Linked DNA regions of Stegostoma tigrinum. The protein of the gene in region 1 interacts with the protein of each later gene in a biochemical or structural test. Links are inferred from orthologs where the notes say so. Each region holds a gene or a part of one and is shown in the gene's direction. Other genes may lie near its edges.

Region 1 (11,134 bases):
GCTAAAGGAAAAAAGTGGGAATGTGACACTGATTGGATAAACAGCCATGATCACATTGAATTATGGAGCAGGCTTAAAGGACTGACTAGCCCATACCTGTTGTTTTCTACATTTCCATGCAAATTTTCAACAGCATGTCATTTTTGCAGCAATATTCAAGTTGTGAACTGTCAAGTTACTATTTATACTAAAATCCTGCATCAGGGCAGGATCTCCTACTGGATGCTGGAAATTGTCTAATGGGAAGGAGTAGTTGCTTATCATCAAGAGCTTCAGAGGGGTCATATCTCGAAGCATAATAGGTCCCATAACTGCTCTGCTTTAAGAACTTGGAGAAATCTATGGAGATGTTTGGAATAAGTGAGTGTGGAAGTGACAGAGCCACAATTGAGGGTTTCAGTAGCATCTCAGATAACTGTGGGCATGTTCCAGAGTTGTAAGTAGATTGTTTTCTGATGGAGAGTCTATTTGGATAGATCTGATTTGGGTTCATTCAGGGTGTTGAGATAGCAAACAGTCTAGCTGAGTTTGAGCTTGTGGTGGAAATGAGGATGGAATCAGTAGCCGTGATACAAAGTTTATGGTGGGAGCTGAAGGTGAAGATGATAAAGATTCAGCCTTCCTTCTTGCTAATATTTAACTACAGGAAAAATAGTTGCTTATTTCAAACTGGATGCTTATTAAGCAGACTAACAAACAGTGTAATTGGAATTGTTGAGAGAGATTTGGCCAACATCAGTGTGCAAATGAAAGCTGATGAACTGACATGCAGAATCAAAACAGGACAAGTCCATAGTTAGATCCCTCAGGCACTCAAGCGATAATGGTGTGGGGTAATAACGAATAAACACTGCTTATGTTCTTGATACAATCAAATAGTCAAATAGGAAGCCAAGTACAAAGTAAATATGGCATACATTTTTAGCCTTATGATGAGTTCTTCTGCTTATTGTAGTGAGGGATTTGATGGGGAAATGGAATAATGTTCAAAATGTCAAATGCATTTTCCATTTTCCCTTTGTTACAGATAGCAGGTTGTCAAGGTAACTAGAGAACGAGGAAGGGAAGAAAGAATGAACCTGAAGAGTTATTTTCACCTGCAGCAAAGTAGCATTTCAGCAATCACAAACACTTACGGATTTCTCAAAGGTTTCATTATGTACACTGTACATATGACTGGCTAATGGAGTTGCAATGGACACTAAGTGCAGACTGATGAACAAATAATAAATGAATAAAATTAAACAAAGACAGCTGATTTTAATTTGTGACAGTTCTGTTTTTCAACTCTTTCACCCAAGACTACTCTTACAACTTCTTCATATTAGCCTGAAATAAATCATTCCCTAATATGGTAAATATTTTTTTCAATTTCTTTAAATTGCTCATAATTTGAAAACTGTTCATAAGGATTTTTAAAGATCTTTGCTTATAATCCTTATGCTACTTTTTAATGCAGTGTAGACAATGTACATCAGAGCCAGATGCTCCATTTGAGATTTGCACACCAAGGTGTATAGAAATAAATAAAGTGTTTCCTTACATTAGGTATGTGTTAGAGGACATTTAATAGTTATTAGTTCAGCATTATTCGTTTATCTTTCAATGTTGAAATCTCACTGCTTACTATAACTTTGGATGGGCATTGTTATATCACTGGCAGTAAGCCCAGAGGAAAAAAGCAAAGTTACAAAGTGCCAAAGGTTCATGGAATTTTTTTCCTGGTCAGCAGTCTGAAGTAGGTAGACTAGCATGCATTAGATCATTCAGGTTCAAACTGTAAGCTGTTCTTTCTGTTCAAATGTCCTGCAGCCTCTTACAATCAAAAAATGATGTAATGATTTTTGATGTTTTTAAAATTACAGATATCAATATACAATCACATTTAATTTTGTAAAATTAGTACATTAATACCAAAAAAAATTTTCTGAATTATTTTTGGAACATTTTGTATTAGACATGATGATAAACATTATAAATAAATAACAGGCATTCATTACATTGTATGTTTCACTTTATCAATATATGACCATAGCACAGACTACTAAGAGACACAAACAGCTCCCTCTGTTTAGTATTTTTTTAAATGTCATTAATTGAATGATGTACTAAGGGAGCAACATTCAGAATAAATACATTGAATAGTACAGTCAAGGCACTGAACTTGTTTGTTACATTTTTGATGGATTTGTGTGTTCATTGTGGCCAAGAATTGCTGGAGAATGGAACAAATATTTGAAGAGAAGGGGACATAAACTGAGGGAGCCAAACTTAAAATTAATGGACAAGCTTATATAATCAGAACCATTTTAACCTCTGTCTGGCTTAACTTCCAAGTTCTGTTTATACAAGAGACTGGATGCCTTAGCACCAGCGGCAACACATGAACAACTATGAGGCAGCTCAAAATTTGCAGTTGCTGGGAATATGTACTGTGTCAGGACAGCATTACTAGTCTGACTGGGAAGGCTGACTTCAGAACCAGAAACATTTGGCAGCCAGCAGCATTCTCCAGTAAAGTAAAATGCTGTCTGCCATAGGCTGCAATATATACATTGTTGCAGCAGTTGCACTTCCTATGCTGCAGTGAGGAAATTGCCTCAAGGTGGTTCTCTGTCTGTCGAACTACTGATGAAGTCAGCAGCTCCTTCAGCTGGAATGCTGCAAGATACATGCAGCACAAACTGCAGTGACACTAGTCACAATGTAGGTCAGCTTTTCTTATAGGCACGCTGCATGGTCCTTTCTCACCAATACCAGAATGTTGGTAAAGTATGACTTTTTGTTTTTTCTTTTTCATTGGAAATAACTAAAACATTAGGCTTTATTTATTAAGTTTTACTGTCACGTGTACTCAAGTACAGGGATGCAGGAGCACAGTGAAAGGTTTACAATGTCACCATTCATGAAGCCATCTTAGGTTTCAAGCTACCTAGGTACAAAATCTTTGAAAAAATAAAGAAATGTTAAAAGTTGAACATTGCAGTTCTTGTCAGCATAAAGCAGTAAATAAGAAATAAAGTTAAAAGTTCCAAATTACAGTCCTTCATTAATCATGAACCTGCAGTTGCTCTGTGCTGGGCTTTTCTCACAGGGGCTCAAACTCTCTCCCGTGCTGGGCTTGACCTCTTGATCCCTGCACCTCCGTGCTGCATTCTCGCTGCCAATCACCATCTAACATGTTAATATATTAAAATACTAAATAATATGCTCTTCTATATCTCAATGTTAATAAGACAAAATATCAATCTCTTGCAAGTTGCTAAGATTGATCAGTAACCTGAAAAACTTAAATAAGGACTTTTATAGATCTTTGTTTGCAATCCCTGTGCTACTCTTTAATGCAGTATACACATAAATCAAAATCAAATGCTTCATTCCAGCAGTATATGCCAAGGCACGTAGAAAGAAATAAACTTTTCTAAACATTAGACATGTTATATTAACATTGGAGAAGCTAGAATTGGTCTCCCACTCCCATTTCTGATAATATTAACTCCATGTCCATATTAGCCAATATTGTAGATAGTTATACCTTCAGGTCCTCTATTCTCTAAATCTGCTGTCATCACACCTCTCCTTGACATTACCATGAAGGAGTCTCCTCTCAACTTCTCCTCTTACTCAAGGTCGGCACAACATCGAGGCCCGAAGGGCCTGTACTGTGCTGTAATGTTCTATGTGTAGTGATCCTCAAGTTAAACCACTGCCAGTAGTCTTCCTCTAATGAGACAGCAGTCTTATGGTCTGGTAAGACTATGGTGACTTTACACAGTAATAGAAGTGTACAGCATGGAAACAGGCCCTTCAGCCCAACCTGTCCATGCTGACCAGGTTTCCTAAACCAAATTAGTCTCCTTTTACTTTGAGAGATTACACTTTGATACTTCTTCCTTTGCAACTGACCATGTTTTCTATGATCTTCTGTTTCTTTCCAAAGTTCTTAAAAAGTGTTGTGGTCTCCCAAAATTTGTTCTAAACTTTTTCACAGCTCATGTTTGAATCCTTGCAATAAGGGCTCTGCAACACAGCAGCACCTAACAGGTCTTGTGAAAATCATAAATGACATCCTACATGATTGCAATAAAGGTACGATATTCCTTCTCATCCTGTGTGCAGTCTTTTACATGATCAATCACACGAATCCTCCTCGGCTGGGATTGGGCTCTTATAGCACAGTCATAATATCCCTACTTCTGATCCAGGAGGCCGAGATTTAAAACCCATCTGCTCCAAGGGTGTGTAACAACATTTGTGCACAGATTGGTTAGAAAATATCTATCACTGCTTCTAGCTGGGTCCATTCTTATCTAACTGTAGCCACTAGCAACAGCTTCTCTTCCTCAATCTCTCAGATATCTCTGACATCTTCCACAAATCTAAACTTGTCTCCCATTTGTCTTGCATCTACCTGCTGTCATTATCTAAAATCAGCGTTGGTTTTAAAAGTAGATTCCCACTCCATCTCATTACCTACTATCTTGACTTTTCCATGACAGTTAAATTACCGGTTTATCACAGAATCCATACAGTGTGGAAACAGACCCTGGGCGCAACAAGTCCACACCGACCCAGAGAGCCTATATAGACCCATGCCCCTCTCTCACCTAATCTACACATCCCTGAACACTACGGGCAATTTAGCACAGCCAATCCATTTAGTCTGCATATCTTTGGACTGTGGAGGGAAACTGAACCCGGGTCCCTGGTGCTGTGAGGCAGCAGTGCTAACCACTGAGCTACTCCTAGCGCACAGTACTGGGCCAGCAGAAATGTTTTCCAATCAAATATTAGGAGGTTTAAACTATTGTTTTTGGTTCCAGCTCCAATTCTGTTTCCTAACTACTATTTTCACTATGACTAATTCTGTCCCTCTTGCTAACAATTTTCTGAGAATCGGGCAGTCTGTTACTTAACTTGGTGTCACGTTCAATCCTGAGATGAACTTCTGACCTCATTCCTATGATCTCTAAAACTGTTTAATTCTAATTCTGTGACAAGTTTGTCCCTACCTTAGCTGATCTGCTCCTGAAACTCTCATTCATAAGAGCATAAGAACTAGGAGCAGGATTAGGCCATCTGGCCCTTGAACCTGCTCCACTATTTAATAAGATCTTTTTGAGACTCAGCTCCACTTGCCCGCCCACTCACCATAACCCTCAATTCCTTAACTGTTCAAAAATTTATCTAGCCTTGCCTTAAAAACATTCTGTGAGGTAGATTCAACAGCTTCAATGGACAGGGAATTCCACAGATCCACAACCCTTTGGGTGAAGAAATTCCTCCTGACCTCAGTCCTACGTCTGCTTCCCTTTAGTTTGCGGCGATGCCCTCTAGTCGTAGTTTCACCTGCTAGTGGAAACAACCTCCCTGCCTCCATCTTATTTATTTCCTTCATAATATGTTTCTATAAGATCTTCCCTCATTCTCCTGAATTCCAATGAGTATAATCCCAGTCTACTCAGTCTCTCCTCATAATCCAACCCTCTCAATTCTGGAATCAACTGAGTGAATCTCCTCTGCACCTCCTCCAGTGCTAGGATATCGCTTCTCAAGTAAGGGATCCAAAACTGCACACAGTACTCCAGGTGTACATACTAGTCATACCTACTTAGTTCTCGATTCAAGTCTTCCATTGCATTCCATACTACTCCCCCAAATTCTGCCCTCTATAAAGTTGAGGACATATATAGTTTTATAATACATTTGTGGACTTAATTACATTAGATGCATTAGATACACTTAAGCTGTTGTTGTTAATGTTCTTAAAGTGGAGAAGGGGAAATCGAATAGACCTATTCATTAACATTAGCCATTTTAGAGGAGCAAGTACAGAAAAAAAAACTTCCTTAGGCAGAGAGGAAAGGACCAGAGGTGATAGAGTTCAAATAACTGGCCACTAAGCCAGAGAGAAAATGAGGATACATTTCTTCTGGTTAAAATTTGAAACACACTATTTCAAAAAAAAATTCCAAATATAAAACAATTGAACGTGAAGAAAGGACCGGGCGAATACATCACAGAAATTTAACAGCACAGGAAAGGCCGATCGGCCCATCATGCACTTGCCCCTGAAATGAACATCAGTGGCGCCTGCCAATTTTCCGGTAACCACCCGTATCTTGCGCGGGACTAATTGAGCCTGTCCTTCATAGAACCCGTACAAATATGATGCGCCCGTTGGTGTCCTTCTGAGGTGTAACACTTTACGGTTGGAACGCTGAGGAGGACCACTTCCACACGCACGGCACCCATCGACGTTGCCTGACCTTTTCTGAGATTGCCATTAGAACCTCGTCCACTCCCCACCATTTCGTGCCATGCCACAGCCACACGTATGGACGTCGCCTGACGCGATGACGTAATCGCGCGAGGGTGGTGAGTGGCAGGCGCCAGAGAGCTCGAGCTGAGCAGCAGTTCACGATCGGAACCCGCGAGAAGGGAAGGGAAAAGAGCGAGAGAAGAGTCGGGTCTTGGTGTCACTTCACCCAGCGGTATAAACTCATCAGAAAGGATCCAATACTCTGTGCAGTTATCTCTCACCTACCTGGACAGAGCTCAGCGACAGCGGGCAACTCTCTCCGGAAACATTCACACTGACAGGGATTTGCCTCTTGTCCCGTTTCTCAGTCGGTTGCAGGATGCCGTTGGCACAGTTAGCTGGTCCTTGGCCCAAAGTGGACCTGGTTCACCTAGAGACCGAGGTAAATATTTGCAACAAGTCATAACCAGACTAGAGGGAGTGTAAACTCAGCTGAGAGAGAAATGTCATTCAGAAGGAAAAGCGATACTCTTAATCCAGCTCTTGCTGTTTGGCATACAGTGAGCTGACTTGCTAAGCTCCAGCGCTTGGGGAAATTCCTCAGAAGTTGAAAGGTCCAAGGTGGGCTTCTCCGATCGCTCACACTTTCCAATGGAGGGCGGGTTAGTGTACTAAAATCATTGTCAAATGTAGCTAAATTGCTGTTTGGGGCGCCGTTGAATTTTATCGAAACAGCATCTGCAGAGGATCGAAGCGGCAGGATAACAATTCAGTTACCTTAGGCATTGCAAATGTTGGTTATGTTGCCACATTGTGGTTGCAATTATGACTATTTTTTTGGGGAAAAAATATCAGTGTTTGGCAGTTGCGTGCTTTGTGTCACCGCGTCTTCTTTGTTCAGTGATTGCGTGTGGTATCTAGCCTCCGACTTAGGATTCTGCTAACTTCAAAAATATTAATTAACGCAAAAATGAGCGCATACCTTTATATCTTTAAAAGGACGTCACATTTACGGACATTTTTTGCCAAAATTGTTTTTTATTTAGAAAATAGTGAAATGAATTATGCCGCATATTGAAGCAGCAGCTGCTGATGAAAGTGACTCGAAAAAAAAGACTATGGCCCTAATGACATTATGAACACTTTATTTAACGCATGTATGACCTTGCACCCGCAGCTACCAAATGGTTTCGTCTTCCATAATTTTCGCTTTCTAACCAAAATAATGATTTGCCACATGCTTCGTGGAGTCATCACGCAGAATGAAAACCTGAGATTGGGAGAGCGGTGAAAAGGAATTGTGTGTACAGTGGGCAAGAAAGGAACGGAGTTGCATCTAGAGCGGAACTGCTAGACAATGTACTGGAATAATTTTATTGCATCCTTCTGTACTTGAGAAGCAGGGTTTAAAAGATGAACAACGGAATATTGAAAGAAAGTAGAAAGAAACACATTGATATTGAAGCAACATTTCCCGAGGGAGGAAATTGGATCTGGGGCAGTACTATAATAAAAGCTCCTGATGGATAAAACATTACGGTTCACTTTATAAATCAAAATCGGGCTGATACGTGGCAAAATTTAGGTTTCATGGCTTGCTAATCTATTACTTCTTTCACATTTTATTGAGAAAAAAGTATTCAAAGTGATAGCAACATTTCACAGCTGAATGTGCATATTAACAACATGCGACAGAAATATAATTCTTGAAAAACAATGGTTTGTTTAAAATAGTTTAATTGAACCAGTGAGGGAAAAGATCATCTGCAATTCCATTGGAGATCTAATCCATTAAATTCTCTAGAATTTGTTACAATAAATAGTTCTTGTTTTGGTATCTATTGATCTCAGGCACTGACTATTTTGGATAAGTTCTTGACTCAAGAGTGTGAACTATCCAGTTGAAATGTTCAGGTACCAATTAAGATTGCATAACTGTATAACAATGTTCCACCTGATAAGTCTTTGATTCTCCTCAAAAACACAATCTTTGCACTCAGAGTTCTTGCACTCTAGCAACCCAACACAAGATTGCTGCAGGCCATCATCAGCAGCAGAATTGTACTCAAACACAACTGCAACCTTGTATCAGAGATAATGGGAACTGCAGATGCTGGAGAATTCCAAGATAATAAAATGTGAGGCTGGATGAACACAGCAGGCCAAGCAGCCTTGTAATTTGGGAAATCCTCCACTTTACCATTTCCATCAGGTCAGGGGATCAACCCTAGTTCAATGAAGATTGCAGGAGGACATGCAAGGAGCAGCAGCTGATGTACCTAAAAATGGGATGTCAACCTGGTGAAGCTACACAACAGGACTATTTGGAGCCAAAATGAAATAATATTCAGAGTTAAGCAATCCAACCAATGGATCTGATCTAACCTTTGCAATTCTGCCACATCCAGTCATGAGGGGCACTGGACAATTAAACACCTCACTGAAGGAGGAGCTCCAAAAAAATCCCCATTGTCAAATGATGAAGGAGCCTAGCATGTCAATACAAAAGATAATGCTGAAGCATTTGCAACAGTGCTCTGTCAAAAGTGCCAGGTACTATATCAAGGAACTGTCGAAGGCACTACACACTGCATAGGCTCTGTCAATGTTCTGGCAATCGTACTGAAGCTATAAGCTGCAGAATTTGCTGTGCACCAAGACAAATGGTTCTAGGACAGCTGCAACACTGGCATCTACCTGACAATGTGGAAAATTGCTCAGATCCATTCTGTATAAAGCAGGGCAAATCCAATTAAGTTGGTTATGTTCGCCTCATTCTTCTCTCGATTATCAGTAAAATGATGAAAAGAGTCATCATAGTGTTATCAGGTTGCACTTTCTTAGCAAGAACCTGCTGTCTACACTCAGCTTGGGTTCCACCAGGGCCACTCAGCTCCTGACTTCACAACAGCCTTTGTTTAACAAAGACATCAAAGCTGCATTTGACCAAATGTGGTATCAAGGAGCTCTAGCAAAACTAATGTCAGTGGGAATCAGGGAGAATCTCTCCACAGTTTGGAGCCATACCTGAGGCAAAGGAAGATGATCGTGATTGTTGGAGGCCAGTCATCTTTGTTCCAGGATATCTTTTTGGGAATTCCAAGGGTAATGTCAGAGGCCTAATTGTCTTCAGCTGCTTCATCGATTACATCTTCATTATAAGATCAGATGTGGGAAGCTTCCTCAGAGAATGAAGCAGCCCACATTCAAATGCAGCAGGACCTGGATAATATCCAAGTTTGAACTGACAAGTGACAAGTGAAATTCACATCAAACAAGTGCCAGGGAATGATCATATCCAGCAAGAGTGAGCTTAACTTTCAGCCCATGACATTCAATGTCATTTCCATCACTGAAACTCCCATAGAGGTCACCATTATCCAGAAATTGAACTGGAATAGCCAAATAAATACAGTGGCTACAAGGCCAGGTCAGAAGTTAGGATTCTGTAGTGAGTAACTCACCTTCTGACTCCCCAAAATCTATCCATCATACATAAGACTCAAGTTAGGAGTCTGACTAGATTCCTTCCAAGTTCCACAATGAGTTCAGCTCCAATATTTTAGAAGTTAGACACCATCCAGAACCCAACAGCCCAATTAAACCACATCTAGAAACATTCACTCCTTCAATCACCAATGCTCCATTACAGCAGTGTGCCCATCTACAAAGTACACTGTATAATTACACAAGTGTTTCAAGGACAGTACCCTCCAAACCCCTGGCTATGAACATATAGAAGGGCAAAGCAGCAGATACATGGGCTGACTACCATATGCAAGTTCTTCTCCAAGCCAGTCTCAATCCTGACTTGGGACTACATCACAGTTCCTTCACTGCTGGGCCTTCACTCCTGGAACACCCCATTCCCAACATCATTGTGGATCTACAGACAACAAGTTATCTGCAGCAGTTCAAGAAGACCATTACTTCCTTGAATCCAACTCAGGAATTGACAATGCATGTTACCTGAGCCAGTAATGCCCATATCCCAAAAATGGGAAAAAAAATCCAATTTCTTTTTCCTTTCAAATTCCTGGAATTTGTTGTCACTTCCCAAAACTGAAAGTATATTTTCCGGAACTCCATGTTTGAACCCACCCAGCAAAGCTACCACCCCGACATGGTAACAAAACTGTTCTTATTAAAGGTGTTATATTTGGCAACCTGTCAGAAAAATATCCTCTATCTTTTTTCTGTGAGCTGCCTGAAGCCTTTGGCATTGCTGATTATGTGAATCTTGAACATCAAAGCACTGCTGAGAAGCTCAGTGGAACTGCTGTCTTCTGGTTCATGCTTATCTATCTAGTTGTAGACAGATTATTGCTTACAATAGTTTCCCTTTAAACTAATGTGCAGTTATCTTTGTGTCTGAAGGATACTTCAAATCTATATTCTGCCGTTTGGGCAACATTGTTCAGAAATAGAACATTAGTTTCCATGTGATCATTAACAATATGCAGCTCACTACCATCTCCCTAAATTGTTACATTACTTGTCCAGATTCTAGTACTAGTTCAGCAGAAATTCCCTCCGATTAAACAATAGGAGGGCTAAAACCACTGCCTTCGGTCCTTGCTACAAACTCAATTTCCTGTTACTAGTTCCATTCCCCCTTCTGGTAGATGTTTGAGAACATACTGTGCACAACTTTGTTTCCATTAATTTACCACAAGATGAGTTGCCAACCGTGCACCCACACCATTCACAAGCTAGACTATTTCCACTGTTACAAATTTTTTAAAAAATCATCAGTGGAATGTGGGCATGCTGATTGGACCAAAATTAATTGCCTAACCCTCGCTACCTGTAAGAAGTTAGTGGTGAGCTGTCTTCATGAACTGCAGCAATCCATTTGGTGCATATATGTTA
Region 2 (8,843 bases), on another chromosome or scaffold:
TTATAAAGTTTGAATTGCACACTAGTGTAGTCATTTAATAAACATATCTGCTGCTGGAATTTGAAATTATATGCCGGTCTCCATGATTTTCTCAGACTTGTGTAAAAATGTTTAAAAAAAGACACTAGTAGTTATGACTTTTCTGTTGGTGCTCTTTTTTACATTAGATATTTTACACTTAACCATATATGGAGTCAAACCACATATTTTGCACATCCCACAGCCAGTTTTACAATAATTGCTGTGCTCTGCATGTACACAGCAGCAATACACAATACCAAAAATACATATATGTCTACACCCATTTTAGCTGAGGTCAGACATTATAAGCTTATTATAGCACAGCCACACTTCTCCTTTACTTTCAGAATTCAGAATAGTGCTTAGGAGCGACCACAAAATTACAACACAGGGTGGATAATTTGCCAAAACCAAAATCACTATCTTGGAACTTTTAATGATAGTCCAAAATCCTGACAACAAATAAAATTCAGAATTAATAAGATATAGGTTTGCATTGTAATAACCTTTTGTGAAGTTGGAATGGACAGACTTGTGAGCCAATGCTCTACTCCTGTGCGCAAATTGTCAAATGGCTGCTACTAATGATGATGGAAAGCTATTACCTTTACTGAACTTGATTGCAAATACAAGTAACATTAACACACATTTATATAGTGCCTTTAACATAAGCGACATTATGAAGCATTATAAGAAGTTGTATCACAAGTAGGCATGAATGGGCTATATTGGGAGGATAATGGCAGAGTCATGTCACTTGGCTATAATTCCAAGGTCCAGGTAAATGCTCTGGGAACTTGGGTTCAAATCTTGCTACAGCAGCTTGTGGAGCTTAAAATTAACTAATTAAAACTCTAAACTTGAAAGTTAGTCATAGTAATAGTGATCATAAAACAACTACTTAGCTTTTAAAAAATCCCATCAGATTCATTGGTGCCCATTTAGAAATATGCCATTCTTCCCTTCTCTGGTCAACATGTGATTTCATGTCCACATCCATGTGGTTGGCTCTTAATTGCCCAATGAAGCGGCTGAGAAAGTCATTCCATTGTACTAAACTGCCACAGATAAATCAGAATCCAATTGATCAAGAAGGAGCTCACCACCACTGTCTTGCTGGCAATTAGCATTGGCCTTGCTGGCCTCATCAGAAATGACCACATCCCCTGAAATAATTTCTTGAAAAGTTTGCTCTATTGTTAGCCATGTCTGATATTGTAACTCGTGACAGTGAGAGGAATCACAAAGGTTATAGTATGGTTATAATACGCTCATACAAGTTCATTGGATTGAAAGACTTCCATCTCCATAGCACCTTTCACGATGTCAAGTTGGCCCAAAGTCCTTTGCAGCTAACTACATTTTTTATGAACTGCAGTTTCTGTTGTAGTGTATAAACTTTATACATACCTTTGGAATTAATAATCCAGTCACAATGTTTGTGTTTTTTCAAACACACCGAGATATAGCGAAAGGCTAAACTTATGTAACAGATTTACCCCAAGGAGTACATTTCATTAACATCTGTCTACTACAGAAAGACTCCATCAGTAAAGTTTGCCTCTGAACTCTGACTGATCGGAAAGTTTGGCTTGGGTGTGAGCGTGGGAGCAGGCTGAGGACAGGAAGCACATTCCCATAGAGTTTTTAACCCCCCACCCTTCCGTTAATAAGGATGTTTACAAGTAGTTGGGACTTTCTGGCAGCCATCACGAGACCCCAGTCTTGGAAGCTGGACACAAAAGCCTAAGAATCTTGCAGCTGTACTTCCATTCCCTATTGCTTCCCTAAGAGCTGGCCTATGTTAAAGGTCTCGAATGGAAGAAACAGCATAATGCAGTCGCTTCAGTGGTAAGGCTGGATGAAACATTAACATTGGTCCTCACACATTCTACTTCTCTTCATTACTAATTAAGGTTACATTGGGTTGTCCCACTGTCATTAAACCCAATCAAGTTAATTTAATAAAAGAACCCCCTTTCCTAAAGGGGACAAACAGTAAAAATACTAATCACGTAAAAAAAAGAGAAAATCTTGCATTTGTATCACCTTGCATTTATGAAACACCTCTCATCATCATTGGACATCTCACGTCTACTGCAAATGACATACTTTGGAAATGAGACCACTGCTGTAATGCCAGAATCTTGCCAGCCATGTTGCATACAGCTCATTGGCTGAGCCACAGTTGGCATGGAGATGCAGCATAAGTAATTAACTGCCAATATTAATTCTCTGGAAAGTCAGGTATAGATACTTGCTGATAGCAAGAACTGCAGATGTTGGAGTCAGAGACAACACAGTGTGGTGCTGGAGGAACACAGCAGACCAGGAAGCATCAGAGAAGCATGAAAGTTGACATTTGTGAAGGTTTCTGAAGAAGGGTCCCGACCCGAAGCGTCAACTTCCCTGCCTCTCTGATGCTGCCTGGCCTGCTGTGTTCCTCCCACTCCACACTGTGTTGTCTCAGGCAAAGATATTCATTGGTCATGGCATTGCTGTGGCAACCCAGCAAAGATTTGCAATCTCCATTACCCTTTGGTCCCCAGTGAAGAAGGTTCATGGTTTGTAACTTTGTCTAAGTAAACAAGTTCCTTTAGATTAATATATGTAGATTCTAGCACATCTAAATGATCACACTGCGAGCCCAAATGATAATCTGGAATTGGGGCTGGGTGTAATTCTTAGCACAATCTGGGTTATTTAATATGTGTTGTCCCAGGGCAGAATCACAATTAGATCAGACATAGTGTTCTGAGGCTTACAAGCACAGGTTGGGTTGAGCATGATTGGCAATTATGACACCAGGGATATCCCCCAGTGCTATTGAGCCTTTCATTCCTACCTGAGAGAGCAGATGGGGCTTTGAGTAGAATCTCATCTGAAAGATAGTATGTCAGTCTAACAGGTCAGCACTCAATATTCTTTTAGAATGGCAAAAATGATTTTTGTGCTTAAATCCCAGATTATGATTCGAACTCAAAACCCCTGACATAGAAACAAAATAAATTAAATGAGAATATTATTTTTGGCATTGACTAGCCATTGGACTCAAAATGTTAACTCTGTTTCTCTCTCTTCAAAGATACTGCCAGACCCATCGTATTTTTCCAGCAGTTTCTGTTTATGTTTCAAATTTCCAGCATCAACAGTTTCTTGTTTTATTCTCCTTTTCGAGGGACACTGGGCACAAATAAGACTGCAGAAGTGAGGGAGGCACTTCTACTCACTGACCATGCACAACCTCTAACATAGTCCAGCTGCTGCATAAGCAACAATCTGTGTATGCTTAGCATTATATACACTGTACAGCACAAACCACAAGCACATATGCACCCCTAAACTTTATCAGCTTGCCCTTGCTCGGATTCATTGGTAGCTCAGTGGTTAGCACTACAGCCTCACAGCACCAGGAATTTGGATTTGCTTCCAGTCTCAGGTGACTGTATGTGAGGAGTTTATACATTCTCCCCATGTCTGTGTGGGTTTCCTCCCACAGTCCAAAGATGTGCAGCTTAGGTCGACTGGCGTGCTAAATTGTCCATAGTGTCCTGGGCTGTGTAGGATAGGTGGATTAGCTATGATTATAGGGTAGGGGTGGGTCTGGGATGCTCTTTGAAGGCTTGGTGTGGATTTGATGCGCTGAACAGTCTGCTTCCAGACTCTGGGGATCCTGTGACTTCTTATTTCTAAGCTTGTAATGGAGTTTTGTACAGAAGTTAAATGTCTTCCTGATGATTTCAGCTCATGACTTACCCTCAGGCCCAAATCATTAGCGAGCCAATCCAATTACCATTGCACAGAAAGCCAAAAAAAACTCCTTTATCAAATTGGATGATACCAGCCAAACAAACACTGTGCCATATTTTAAGCCGGCTAAAGCGAAACAATGAAAGAAAATTATTTTTAAAATATCATTATTAAACCTCCCTGAGAATTTCCTCTGGGGTTGTACACAACGCTGCTCTGGAGACTTCAGACCAATCCTGAAGTGTTGGCACATCAGTCTCCCTTTCCCCTCTAAATCGAATCTTAAAGCTCTGTCTAACTCAGCATTGGTCTGTCCCTCGGGTTGGCCCAATATAGTCGGGGAACACCAGAGTACCACAGCACGTTGTGAAAGATGGGGATGGGAAGCCTGGCTGAGCTAGGACACCCTGAATCAAACCTTGCTGTTCACGCCGGCTTTCAGTAGGTGGCAGTCAGTCTAAATGCAGGGACCCCGCTAAAGAACTTGAACTTTGGGAGAAAGAGAGACCCAATATTATTATTGTTTATAGCGTGTCATCGCCGCACTTGGTTGGTACGCCTTGCTGTCGTTTCCAGCGATTAGCATTTCTGACCCGCAGACTTCATTTAGAATGCGGTTTCGCTCGGCAACGCGGGGAACTTTTTGATGCAAACGACAGGAGAGAAACAAAAGCTCGTTTTATGTGGGTTGCGAACAGCCGGAGGTTTTGTTTTTGCGCGTTTCTGTGCAGGCTGGAAGTTTCCGAGGAGACTTTGAGGGGAGGTGCGCTGGCGCCGAGTCTCCTTCTCTTCCTTTGGCGTTCCTGGTGGAAATTGAACTCCAAGTTTGGCGAGTTATCACTGGAACTGAGCGGATACCCGGACTGGGAGCGTACAACAGCGGCGGCTCGTAGAGACAGAAGATCACAAGCACACGCTCCCGGGAGTAACCGCAACGGCAACGAATTAAAATAAAAGGAGAAAGTTTATTTCCACCGGAGTAACCAAGTGACCCTGAAATTGCAAGACGGGGACTGAAACGCCCAAGGGGGCCGCGAGGATGGCCAAAGACCACCTGAAACCCCGCTTGTGCCACATGATAAAAGCGGAAAATGGCTACGGTTTCCACTTGCACGGGGAGAAAGGCAAAAACGGCCAATACATCCGTAAAGTAGAGCCCGGTTCACCGGCGGAGGCGTCGGGTCTTTGCGCCGGGGACCGGGTGGTCGAAGTTAACGGCGAGAACGTGGAGAAGGAGACGCACCATCAGGTAAAAACAAAACAAATTTGGAAACGCGCATGGCTTGCAAAGTTTTTATTTAATTTTTTTAAAGCGTATGCAGCTCCCGTCTTGCGGGCACGCAGCGAGTAATCGGTAGGTCCCCGCAGTGTGTTGGTGAACCCACACGAAGGGGAAAGGGGTGCAGCAGGATGGAGTTGATCGTTGATACTCCACATTGATCAATCAGACATGTCCAGCCGCGGGGAAGGTACTGGCCAGAATGCCGGTCCCCAAAATGGTTCGAGGGTGCTGCATCTGGGACACGGTTTTACAAAGGATAACCTTTATTGATTCATAATTGGAAACATTTTAATACCGAATGAATTGCAAAATGCAGGAGCGATGCGTTTTTGTGCGCTTGCCCTTTGTGTTTTGCTTTAGTAAGTGAATACTATTTGAATATTTGAACGCAGGCAAAGCAACCCTGACCTTGAAGGATCAATAAAGATTGTTTTGACAGTCAGTGTGTTTCATATCCAAGCGACCGATGCCTCGACGGATTTTACACTGAGCCCTTATGGCTTCGGTTGAGAACCCCAGCCTAAACTTGAGGGATTTATCGGTGCAGTCTGCCCTCTGAAATGCTGGTGTAGCCTCACATCAATTGCACTCGTCGCATTATACTGCTGGAGAAACATTTGTTTTAAAAAGTCTGTAGGCAGCGGTAAAAAGTGACTTCTCATATGTTGCCACTCCCAAGTGATACAAACACTTCTTTTTTGCACGTTAGTGTCATGTTTCAATTTACAATGAAACCAAAGAGCGTACACATGAGAGTTCATTTCACCCGATTACCAATGTGACATTATCCAGATGCGTGAACTCTAGCCCAGCCAGATTATAACATGCTTGGGTTTATGGTCGATATAGTTCAGTGGATGGGGGTGGATTAGAAGTTCATTGTGTTTTTTTTTGAAAAGCACCGTTTAGTAATATTACAAAAGTTTACCTCATGTGAAGGAACTTTGGTGAATAGGGCGCTTGGACTTGAGACATGTGGTCACGTGATTCTTATTTTCAGGCTGCTTATTTAAAAGTTCAACCATTAGACTGTGTATTCCAGCGTAAAAATGCCGGGAAAGACCTGGTGTGTTCACAGACCTCCACTGCAGCAACTCGGTGATGCTGAATATGGTTATACCGAACAGTGTTAGAAGCAGGAGAAATTGTAAATGGGAAATAAGGGAGAACCATAACTTCTCTGTCCAGCTCACTGTTCCAGGAGCTGAGCACCTGGAATTTCCCAGTGTTCTGCCTTTCAGTTGCTCCTATTGGCATCATCCTCCAGATCAGCTTTTACAACAATACAGTAATATTCACTCAGAGCCAAAACTCCTGGAGTCCTTGAACTTTTAGTGGATGATTGAGTTTGGCTTTGAGACAATATTTTGTGTTATCATGTCTTTGATCTTATTCCTTCAACAAAGTCTCCTCAAGCCTCACTCTATAAAAATTGTCCTCTTGTTTTCATTACCTTCACCTCCAGCAACAAGTCCAAGGAGGTTGTGGTATTTTTTCTATCACTAAGATTGAGACTATCTGATCGGCAATGTCTGTTGGGTTCCTCCCTACCTGTACCATCCTAGGTCAAACCTCCTTGAAAGCTTATTCCTGCCCTAGTTTTACTCCTTGGGTTCTGTCCCTACCCCCTTTCACATTTTCCCTCACTACCCCTCTTCAAACTGACAGTCGACCACTTTGACCTTGTAAATGCTCCCCCATCCAACATTGTCTAATGAAGCAATTGAGCAATCTGGGACCTTTTCTCATTGGAGGTTAGAAATATTGATAGGGTAAATACTAAATACATTCTCATTGCATTGGGGATTGTAGAGATAAGGGACACAGGTTCAGAATGAAGCATCTCCAATCTAGGATGAGGGTGAATTCTTCCCTAATTTTGTGAATTTCCATAAAGGGCTGTAGAAACTTTAATCATTGAACGTATTTGGTACTGAGTTGTAGATATCCTAAACTATAAAGGTATCGAGCTTTATAGGGACTAGGTGATCAGTGGAATTGAGACCCGATCAGCTATGGTTTTATTAAGCAAGCTTGAGGGACTGTGTTGATTACTTTCCTGTTTCTTATTCTGGTGTTCTTTCTAGAATCGTTGAATGAGGTTACCATTTTCCAAATTCATATCCAAGTTTCCTAGAACACTACATCTCTCCACCTAGATCTCTGCCCACTAATGGTGTTGAGATAGCTGCTGTCTTTACAGAGTTGTGAGAGCATGGAATGTGTTGCCAGCAGCAGTTGTGGAAGCAAGGTCATTGGGGTCATTTAAGAGACTGCTGGACATGCATATGGTCACAGAAATTTGAGGGTGCGTACATGAGGATCAATGGTCGCTACAACATTGTGGGCTGAAGGGCCTGTTCTGTGCTGTACTGTTCTATGTTCTATGTTCTATAAGGAAATGCTAGAGACCTAAAGAGAAACTCATTTACTCAATGAGTTGTGAATCTCTGGGATTCTTCATGCCAGAGAGTTCCGAATGCTCAGGCATTGAGAGTCTTCAAGAAAGAGCATTTTAATCTTCTCTTTACAGAGAGAGGACTAGTGGTGCTTTAACCTGACAGTCACCATGCTTCACATTTGGGGAGAGGGATATGGGGCTAGTGTGGATAAAAAGAGTTAGAGCAGACCTGAGGTGCCATGTGGTTTGCTTCTGCGCTTCTTCCTCTTTAATGTATCTGATTGCAAGGTACATATTAGGAGGAGTTACTGAATTTCAGAGACAACATTGAAATTTGATCCCATTCTGCTTCAAATTAAACAATTCCTGCTCATGTAACTTCCCTAGAGCTTTCACAGTCAGTAAAGCTTTTTGGGATGATGCTTTGATATTAGCAGAAGCCTCAAGAATTGCACTCATTAGAATTGCTGACAAGCTTCTTGTTTTCTTCTAAAGGTTTTGATGTTGAAACTTGATGCTTAACACAGTGTTTATTGTAATCAGCATGCATTTATCGAAAGGTTGTGACCCTCTTTGTCTTCACCAGGTCGTGCACCGGATCAAGGCACTGGAGAATGAGACAAGACTACTAGTGGTGGACAAGGAGACTGATGAATACCTGCGTAATCAGCGGCTCGCTGGTACAGAGGATTACGGCCAGAACCTCCCAGCAGTTAAGACCAAGGACAATGGTGAAGTGTGGAAACCGCAAGTAGTTCTGAGCAGTGGTGAGCCTACAAGATTATCAAACAAGTCCATTGATAGCAATAACAAGGTAAGAGCCCTTTTGAAAAAATAAGGTGAGACATGGGAGTTAAGTTGCCCAGTTGCCCAACATTTTATGAAAAATTAACTTCCATTTTTCTCAATGATTTTTTTAGTGATGGACAATCTCCAATTGCGTTTGACAAACATTGGAAGGGATCATTCAATGTAGAAGCTGCCTCATATGACAAACAAGGGAGTCAAGGGGTTTTGGGGGCTAGGCAGGAAAACTATTAAATCAGTCGTGATCTTATTGAATGGCAGAGCATACACGAGGGGCCAAATAAATTACTATTGTTCCCAATTTATACGATTATATAACTTGCATGCCCAAATTACTTTTCTTGTTATCAAAATCTGAATATTAAAACACTTCTGAGGCAATAGCAACTTTCAAGGCAGCAATATAAGAACTTTACAATGTGTAATATAATTGTATAACAACTGTATACAGGACTGCAAATCAAAGGAATATGCCTAATTTTAGTGGCATTTTCAAACGGAGAGTTAGAAGTAGTGAGGAGAAGCCTTTATTGAATCTGTTACACTTTTTGGGGTGGTATGGTTGATTCTGGCATTTTATTT
Region 3 (8,543 bases), on another chromosome or scaffold:
CCTTAGTGATATCTGAGTTGGTTGATGCTTGTGGTGTAGATCAACGCTGATTTGCAATCAGGCCTCATACTATAGTTGGGAGACAATGATGGCTTGTTGTGTCCAGTAATTGAAATTGGCTCTGCTCGGTTACTTCTGTTCGGGGTTTAGCCTCACTAAGACTCTAAGTTGATGAAATGAACCATTTAGTGCACTAGCTCCCCTCCAGAGACATGGATTCAAACCAATAACATGTAAATTTTGGACTAATATCAAGAAATACTGCTTCACAAGGTGAATGTTCATTATTTGAAATGGACTCCCAGATACAACAGTAAAAGCAAAAACCCTGGAATTGTTGCACAAACATGCAGTAGTATGTATTGTAGGGCCTTGCTGGATCTTGACTTCCCCGTCATATTAACTTGTAATATCCAGTATAAATTTTCGTCTCTGCATTTCTGTCTTTCATGGCCTTCATCTATATTTCTTTACATTTGTTGCTGCATATTTCTTTCTCTCATACTGTAACTCACAATTTCCCTCTGTGTGCATGTTTACTTCAGTTCTGTTCTCCTACCTCTTTCTGTCTCTTTCTTCATATTTCTACCTTCTTGTTCTCCTTCTCTGTATTTCTGTCCCATTTTCCTTTGTGTGGATAAATATAATGTGACATGGAAAGATGAACAGCAGGAACTATACACCAATCACCAAGCAGGGAGAAACAAATGCATAAATTGTTAAGTAAGGGAATATAGTTGGTAAAGAAACAGGTACATGGGAGTCTAGGTTTTCTAAACAGCTGTGACAATTGTTCCAGTATTCTCAGGAAATGAAATCTGCTGGAGAGAAGGGAAAGAGGAAATTTAACAGCGATATATCATGAAAGGTTTGATAAAAAAGGCAAACTATTTCTCTGGCTGAGGAGGCAGCGCAGTTGAGGAATACATTTTCAAATTGTCACAAGCAGACTGTAATTAGAAAAGAGAAAAATGTCTTTAAGAGGAGTGGCTTTGCTGTAAACAGTACATTTTAGGACAAAATTGGATGAATAACTGAAGCCAAGCAAGGGACAGTACTGTGGAGAAGAGAATTAATCAATGGGATTTATTTTGGATCACTCCAGCTCAGTTCTGACAAGAGCACATCCTCCTTTTGTGTTATACATGCCCACATTTCATGGATACAGGTAGATACATTGATTGGGATGTACCCACTCAGAAATAGTAGGGAAGGCAGTGGGCAGGACAAATAATCGGGGGAATTGCCTCCTTCCCTCCACTACGGGAGTTAAATTCTAGGTGGAGTGGATCCTGGTCAACCTTCCTGATCTGAGGCTAATTAAGATCCTTAAATGGTCAATTAATGATCAGTCAAGGGCTTCATTCTGCCACTGGTACAATTTAACTATGTTCCATATAGATGAGCAAAGTGGCCACCTTTTCAACAAACCACAATGGGGCAGACTGTTTTCTTGGCTGAGGAGAGGCTAATTTGCCTCAGTCTGGAGGTGGGAGCAAGCTGCGAGTGGCCTCTTCTACATTGGTGAGACCAAGCAGAGACTCTGAGACCGTTTTGTAGAGCATCTGCGCTCAGTACGTGACCAATGACAACACCTTCCAGTCGCCAACCATTTTAACTCCCCCTCCCACGCCCTGGTGACATGTCCATCCTGGGTATTCTCCAGTGTCACAATGACACCACCCGCAAACTCGAGGAACAACACCTCATATTCCACCTCGGGAGCCTACAGCCTGATGGCCTGAAAGTGGAATTCACCAGTTTTAAAATCTCCCCATCCCCAGTCTCATCCCATGTCCAACCCTCCCTCTCATCCCCGCCTCCTTGACCTCACACAACCTGTCCATCCTCTCTCCCACCTGTCCACCCCACCCATCCCACTGACGCATCTCCTCCACTCCCTACGTGTACTCACTATCATCATCCCACCTCTCTTTCCCCAGTCCCATTCCTCCTCTATTTATTTCCTAACTCCCTTCTGACTCCCCATTTCTGAGCAAGGGTCCCAATCCGAAATATCAACTTTCCTGGTCCTCTAATGCTGCCTCGTATTCTGTGTTTTTCCAGCTCCACACTGTTATCTCTGACTCCCGCATCTGCAGTTCTTGTTTATCTTTTTCTGAACAATAATCTGCTCACCAATACATAATCTCGGTTCTGTCAGTACCAATCAGTTCCCGTCTTCATTACGTTCTTTGATCAAACTCAGACAAAATAACTAACTCTCAGAGGCAATATGGGTGTGACTGCCCTTGATATCAGAAAGCATTTGATTTGAGTTACACATCAAATAACCCAGCTTCAGGAGGCAACTTTAGAAGTTCCTCATGTCAGTGTCCTCGGCCCAAGCAACTTTTGGCTGCCTCAGTGACCCTATTATAAAGCTGGAATTAATGACATTCATTGATTTAATCTGTTCAGATTTAAATACAATTCTTAAGTTAGTGAAGGTGCATGCAACCAGACTTGGACAGCAATCATGCTTACTCTGACAAGCTCCCAAGCCATGACCATCTCCAACCAACAGGAGGGAGTCTAACCATCACCCCTTGAGATTCAAGAACATGATAAGTGCTGAATACATCACTATCTGTCTCCTGGAGGTTGCCATTGACCGGAAAATTAACTGGACCAGCTACATAAAAAAGTGATTACAAGAGGTTAAAGGCTGAGTATTCTACAATAAGTAACATATCTCCTAACTCTCCAAACATATTCCATCATTGATAAGGCATAACTTAGGAATGACATTGAATACTATCCACCTGCCTGGAAGACTGCAACTCCAATAACACTTCAGAAGCAACCTAATTGGCATTCCATTCATCACAATAAACTTCCACAGCCTCCACCACTGGCGTTCAGGGGTTGCACTGAATATACAAGATGCATCAACTCCTCAAGGATTCTTTGATACCACCTCCGAAAGTCCTGTGCCTGCCTAGAAGAACAAAGGTGCATTGAGAAACCACTTGCCACATGTGCCCCTTCAAGTTACACACCATCCTGATTTGTAACATATGCTGGTTTTGCAAGTGACATGTATGTCCCAAAAATTATTAGGCTGAGAGAAGTCTCTGAAAAGATGTGCAGACATTCTTATATTATTTTTGATTGGCTGCTGACTTAATGTAATACTGAGTAAAGCAATTTTAATCTGTTTTATTTCAGGATATTTTTAAAAAGTAATTTAAATGATGTATCTAAGACAGAGAGTACCCCAGTCACTTGGAGCCCAGCTGACTGTTCTTGTGAGATGAATTATGGATTTCAAGAATCAGGTTTATGAGAGTTGGTGGAGTAAAATCTCTTTGATATTTAGACAATTTGAGAATTATGAAACTTGTAAATTATTGTAATATTGACAGTTCAATGATATAACATCTGTAAATGTGCAGTTTTGTACAGAGTAGTGCTTGATTACCAGTTCACTATTCAACAGATTTGACCATTGGTTGGTACACTGCGTCCAACCTCTGCATTGTCATTGTAATAAACGTTCACACCATTTGATTAACTCAAGGGTTATATATATTCAACACTTACACTTTACTGTCTCAGAGAAAAATCAAAGGAGGTCGCCTCAGTTGAAACAAATGAATTGAAGACTCTGTTGAGAAATGTTGGATAATGATGTGTTTCCACAGATTGCTCAAGATTTGGGGAGTATTGACTGTCCATTCTTGCTTTAGATCAATGTACGTAAGATGTCAACATTATTTTCATGTCAAACACATTGTGATGATCCACTTCCCTAGTTCTTCTGAGTCCATAATGTTCTTTTCCTATATAATCAATGTTAGAATTCTCCTGACTCTAACTCCATTTACATCTGAATATCCCCAGCTGCTCCTTTTAAAGCAGCAATTAAGAGCAGAATGATTGGTGATCCTGCACTTCACGTGTGTGTCTGTTTTTTGGACACTGTGCAGCTCCTCCTGCATTAGCTGCTGCTGGGATGAATTCAAAGGGAAACGTGTTCTCATTCTGCAAGAGGCAGGACTTCCTCTTGTATATCAGAGATACTGCAAAAGACAACGTATGCAGCTGGTGCACAAGAGTCGACTGTACGAGAAGGACAGTGGTGCCAGTATCTCATGGCTGACAGGATTCTCTGCTTTGAAAAATGATGTTGTAAAGTTTTTGTTTTAAAAGCACTTGAGGCGAAGTTGAATCCAGGACTTCTGTTTTATCCTATGCCCAATACACCATAGTTTTAAATCTACAACTATGGCTAAACGTGAAAGTATTGTGAACCGAGTGAAGAGGTTGCTGAGAAGCCGAAAGTCCAAACATGGCTTGAGTCAGGGGCCGGGCGACTTACCTTCTTCGCCCAAAGATTTCTGTAAGTGTGTCACTGCTGTGAGCTCTTTCACAAATGGCTTTTAATCTGCTGATTTACATCTCCATAGCAACCATGCCTAATGACAGTGAATCCTTCTGTGGTGCAAACCTTGTGGTTTCAACAAGTAATGTGAAGAATCAGCTGATTAAGGATTTGGGGGAGGTGTGTTTTGTGGGTTGTGAAGCTAGGACGTGATGTGTAATCTACAATAAACACAAGCAACAGACTTTTAAATTTTAAAAGTAGAGGAATTTCTCCAGTGTGTTAGGCTTCAGGGGATAGGATTTGGGTCTGTGACTTGTTAGATTGGAATTCTTCATCTCTTCCAGGCTGTTAAGAACATTTGCCAGTGGGTCTCTTGCAGAACTGGATCACAGATAATGATAAAACAATTTTAATCTGAAATTTGGTTTAGTTGGATGAAAAGTGTTGTGTGTTGTCAAGGAAACTTTAGATATTAAAGCTCAGACTTGTTTAGCTATTAAACTGCTTACCACCTTTCCTTTGTGATGAACATTCCAAGGCAGTTCGTTAAGCTGAAACAGTACTACTTAGGTTTATTCAGAGGCTAAACATAACTTCAAGCAACAATATTTCTGTCTCATTATTTTAAGTTTATTGTCATATTTGAAAATTAATTTAAATGCTTTTTATAGAAAACACATGGACGTTAAGCAACAACAGTACATTTTAAATTATCTACAAGGTTTTCAAATTTGTGGAAGATTAGAATAAAAATTATGAGCAAGTATAAGATGGATTCCAGTTCACATCTATCTTTGAGAGAGACACATGAAAATGGGTCACATTTTCAATCCAAATGAGTAAGTGTGGGCAGTTTTTTCTATTTGCTTTCATACCTATTGTATAAAATTATGATACTATATGCCCAGAATTTATATTGTATCATTCTGAATATGTTAACTATTTAGTTTTTCTCTTTTTTACCATTCAACAGCATTGAATGGCTCTTCAGTTCTGTTCTTTTGATCATACCTACATTTACCCTCAGGTTGTCTCATCTACCGGAATTGATACCCCAGATTTTCACACAATGATTCTTTTATTATATGGCTTGCACATAGATTATGTAGCACCAAGCAGTGAAATTGCAGATGCAGAAATGAAGGGCACATGCATCAAAATACTGTCAAATAAATCTTTGGGAGGATTTTTTTCTTGCTTTTGATATTTTGGGTTTTCCTTTGTAAGAGATTTTGGCAGATAGAGCATAACGGATAAAAATGAGAAACGCTTACAGCCTTTAAAATTCTAGATGTTATACACATTAACCCAGATTCTGAGTAAGCGCCTTTACCGTGAATGCACCTGACCCAATATATGAGGAAGTGCCATGTTGAGTTTTTGCAAAGTAAGACTCACCCATTATTTTGAATAAGCTACAAACACAGGTCATTAGAAACACTCATCTGTAGCATATGTTACTAAACACCATGACATCCAGTGAGAACTAAGCTCTCAAAGGTATTAGAATGAATTGTGTTATGGACTGAAAGATATCCATTTGTCCACAGACCATACAAATAAAAGTAGACACTGTAAGCATTGATTTCATCTGCCATAAATTTAAACTCATCCAGAATCCTGTATGTTTCCTAACTTCTCACCAAATCCCTTTCACTTATCAACACTGTGCTTGCTCACCAATGCTGAGGTGTTGCTTAAACAGGAATCAGTTTTAACCTTTTCATCCTTGTTTTCAAATCCCTTGATGGCTTTGGCCTGCCTTATTCCTGTAACCTTCTCAAACTCCATAAACCCCTAAGATACATGTAATCTACATTCCTGCAATATTGGTCTCTTTAATATTCATCCCCACCCCTCATTTACTTTGGTAATTCTTCTCAAAACTTCTCCAGCTGTACCCTTCCTTGAGACATTACCTCTCCTTCTCCTTTAAAGCCTATATCTGGATCAAGCTTTTGGTCATTGTCTTATTTCCCCTTATGAGACACAGTGTTAGATAATAAAGGCCCTTGATATGACTAGGACATTTTACTGTGCAAAAGGCCCATTTTAAATGTAAGTTGCAGTTGTTGGAGGTGCCCCAAATAAGGGTGGCGCTACATGAAGCTAAATCCATCTTGTAAAAATACAGGTGTCCACTTGCATGTAGAGAAGATCAATGAAGTCACCAATTCCCTGATTAACTTGATTAAATGCACATGCATTTTGCATTCATCAGCATGAGTTATTACCTCTTACCAGCATGACTGATCCCATTATTCTCTCTTACCTCATATGTGCATCAAGTTTCCTCTTAGATGTGTTCATGATATCTGCTTTAACACTATGTGTCAGCAGATGCCAAATTGTTGGGCTGTGGTCTGGCTTGTGCTATATGCAAACCAGAAATGGGACTCTTGGGCTATAAATTAATTTAAATGTAATTATATAATTATAAACCAGTTAGAAGTGGAACTATTTGTGGGGGAAAAACAGTTTGAAGTGGGGTTGTTGGGTTTTAAGTTGCTTAAGGAAAAGTCTCATTGGAGTGTTTGTAATGGGATTTTGAATTAAACCTGAAGATGGCCTGAAATGGAATTATTCACTAAATATTGGATTAAAATGGAACTGTTGGACAATAAACTAACCTGAAGTGGGATTGAGTATTTTATCATCGAAATCCAGATTATTTATAGAATAATAAATTGATACACCAGAGATGGAGGCCATTTGGCTTATTGTGTCTCTGCTTGGTCTTTGGAAGAGCTAACCAATTACTTTCAGTCCCCTGTTCTTTCTCCTTAATCTAGCAATGTATTTTCCAGTTCCTTTTTAAAAGTTATTATTGTCTTTGCTCCCATCAGACTTTCAAATGTTGCAGTTCTGATCATTGTAACTCACCACTTGTTGCCTCTGGTTCTTCTGCCAGTCACCTTAAATCTTTGTCTTCTAATTATTGATCCTCCCCCCTTGGAAAAAGTTAACTTTTCTAAAAATAAAATTATTATTCATGAGTTGTGGCTGTTGTTGGCTGAGAAAGTATTTATTGCCTTAGCACCCAAGCAGTAACCTTTGAGTTCCAAAAACACCATCCTAGTCTGACATTACACCCCTCACAGGAATTTTCTACTTCCTGTTTCTTAAACAGTTTCTTTTAACATTGCTTTCTATATTCTGAATTCCAGACTGTTTGCAATCGGCTTAATTCTATTGGAATCTAAAATTCCCTCTTTTGTTTCACTCTAGTTCCGATAATGTCAAGCAACAATCAAGAATGGCCAGAAGAGTTTGGATTTCATATCAGTGGGAATGGTCCATGCTACATCCTTTCCGTGCAAGAGGGCAGTAGCGCGCACATTGCTGGTCTGCAGCCAGGGGATCAGATTCTGGAAATTGAGGGACAGGATGTATCATCCCTGAGTAGTGATACAATAATCAATTTAGCCAGACATTGTAAAACTGTTCCTCCTAGCATTGGTGTGGTGTCTCGTATTGAGCAGATAGAACTCCTGCCTGCAGCAGATGGAAGATTTGGTTTCAACCTGAGTGGTGACAGCCCTTTGCAGATCGAGGATTGCCTCCCAGATTCGCCTGCAGCCGAGCTTGGACTCAAGAGTGGTGACTATATTATGGAGGTTAATGGGATTCCAGTAAAAAACTATGAAGTTGCAGCTTCCATGATAAAGGCCAATCATGGGAAACCATTGAAACTGGGAGTCCTATGCTTTGGGAAGAGACAAAAACGGATCAGCAGCAGTATCCGTGAATATGTTCAGAATGCCGATGCGATACATCAGGAGAGGAAGTTTAAAGCTTTGGAATTTAATAAAAAGGTAGGAGACTGCCAGCCAAGCAGAAAGGACCTGTTTGTGATAATTTGCAAAGATTCTGGAGCATTGGGATCTCTGGATGAATAGGATTTGTCCACCCAGTGAAAACATAAACCTTTACTTCAGGCTTAACAACATTAAAGGGGTGGCTCAGTGGCTAGCACTGCTGCCTTACAGCACCAGGGACCCAAGTTCAATTCCAGCCTTGGGAAACCATCTGTGTGGAGTTTGCACACTTGCCCTGTGCTCCAGTTTCCTCCCAGGTTCCAAAGATGTACAGGTTAGTTGGATTGGCTGTGCTAAATTGCCCATAGTGTCCAGGGATGTGTAGGCTAGGCAGATTAGCCATAGGAAATGCAGAGATACAGGGATACGGTAGGGGGATGGGGATGGTTCTGGGT

Evidence for each region. The genes of interacting proteins can lie anywhere in the genome.
Region 2: the proteins of ribosomal protein S6 kinase 2 alpha-like (region 1) and Na(+)/H(+) exchange regulatory cofactor NHE-RF2 interact in a test that uses a peptide from one of them, tested with the Homo sapiens proteins (2 studies listed by BioGRID and IntAct). The link is inferred for Stegostoma tigrinum from reciprocal best matches to the Homo sapiens genes RPS6KA1 and NHERF2.
Region 3: the proteins of ribosomal protein S6 kinase 2 alpha-like (region 1) and delphilin-like interact in a test that uses a peptide from one of them, tested with the Homo sapiens proteins (2 studies listed by BioGRID and IntAct, with this or other methods). The link is inferred for Stegostoma tigrinum from reciprocal best matches to the Homo sapiens genes RPS6KA1 and GRID2IP.

What each region holds. Positions count from the first base shown.
Region 1 is NC_081377.1:32,185,930-32,197,063, reverse strand, and holds the start of ribosomal protein S6 kinase 2 alpha-like, read left to right. Parts: upstream 1-6,394; 5' UTR 6,395-6,641; coding exon 6,642-6,704; intron 6,705-11,134. UniProt on the Homo sapiens protein: Serine/threonine-protein kinase that acts downstream of ERK (MAPK1/ERK2 and MAPK3/ERK1) signaling and mediates mitogenic and stress-induced activation of the transcription factors CREB1, ETV1/ER81 and NR4A1/NUR77, regulates translation through RPS6 and EIF4B phosphorylation, and mediates cellular proliferation, survival, and differentiation by modulating mTOR signaling and repressing pro-apoptotic function of BAD and DAPK1.
Region 2 is NC_081376.1:38,052,780-38,061,622, forward strand, and holds the start of Na(+)/H(+) exchange regulatory cofactor NHE-RF2, read left to right. Parts: upstream 1-4,273; 5' UTR 4,274-4,810; coding exon 4,811-5,020; intron 5,021-8,040; coding exon 8,041-8,268; intron 8,269-8,843.
Region 3 is NC_081376.1:20,777,441-20,785,983, forward strand, and holds the start of delphilin-like, read left to right. Parts: upstream 1-3,973; 5' UTR 3,974-4,230; coding exon 4,231-4,345; intron 4,346-7,558; coding exon 7,559-8,145; intron 8,146-8,543.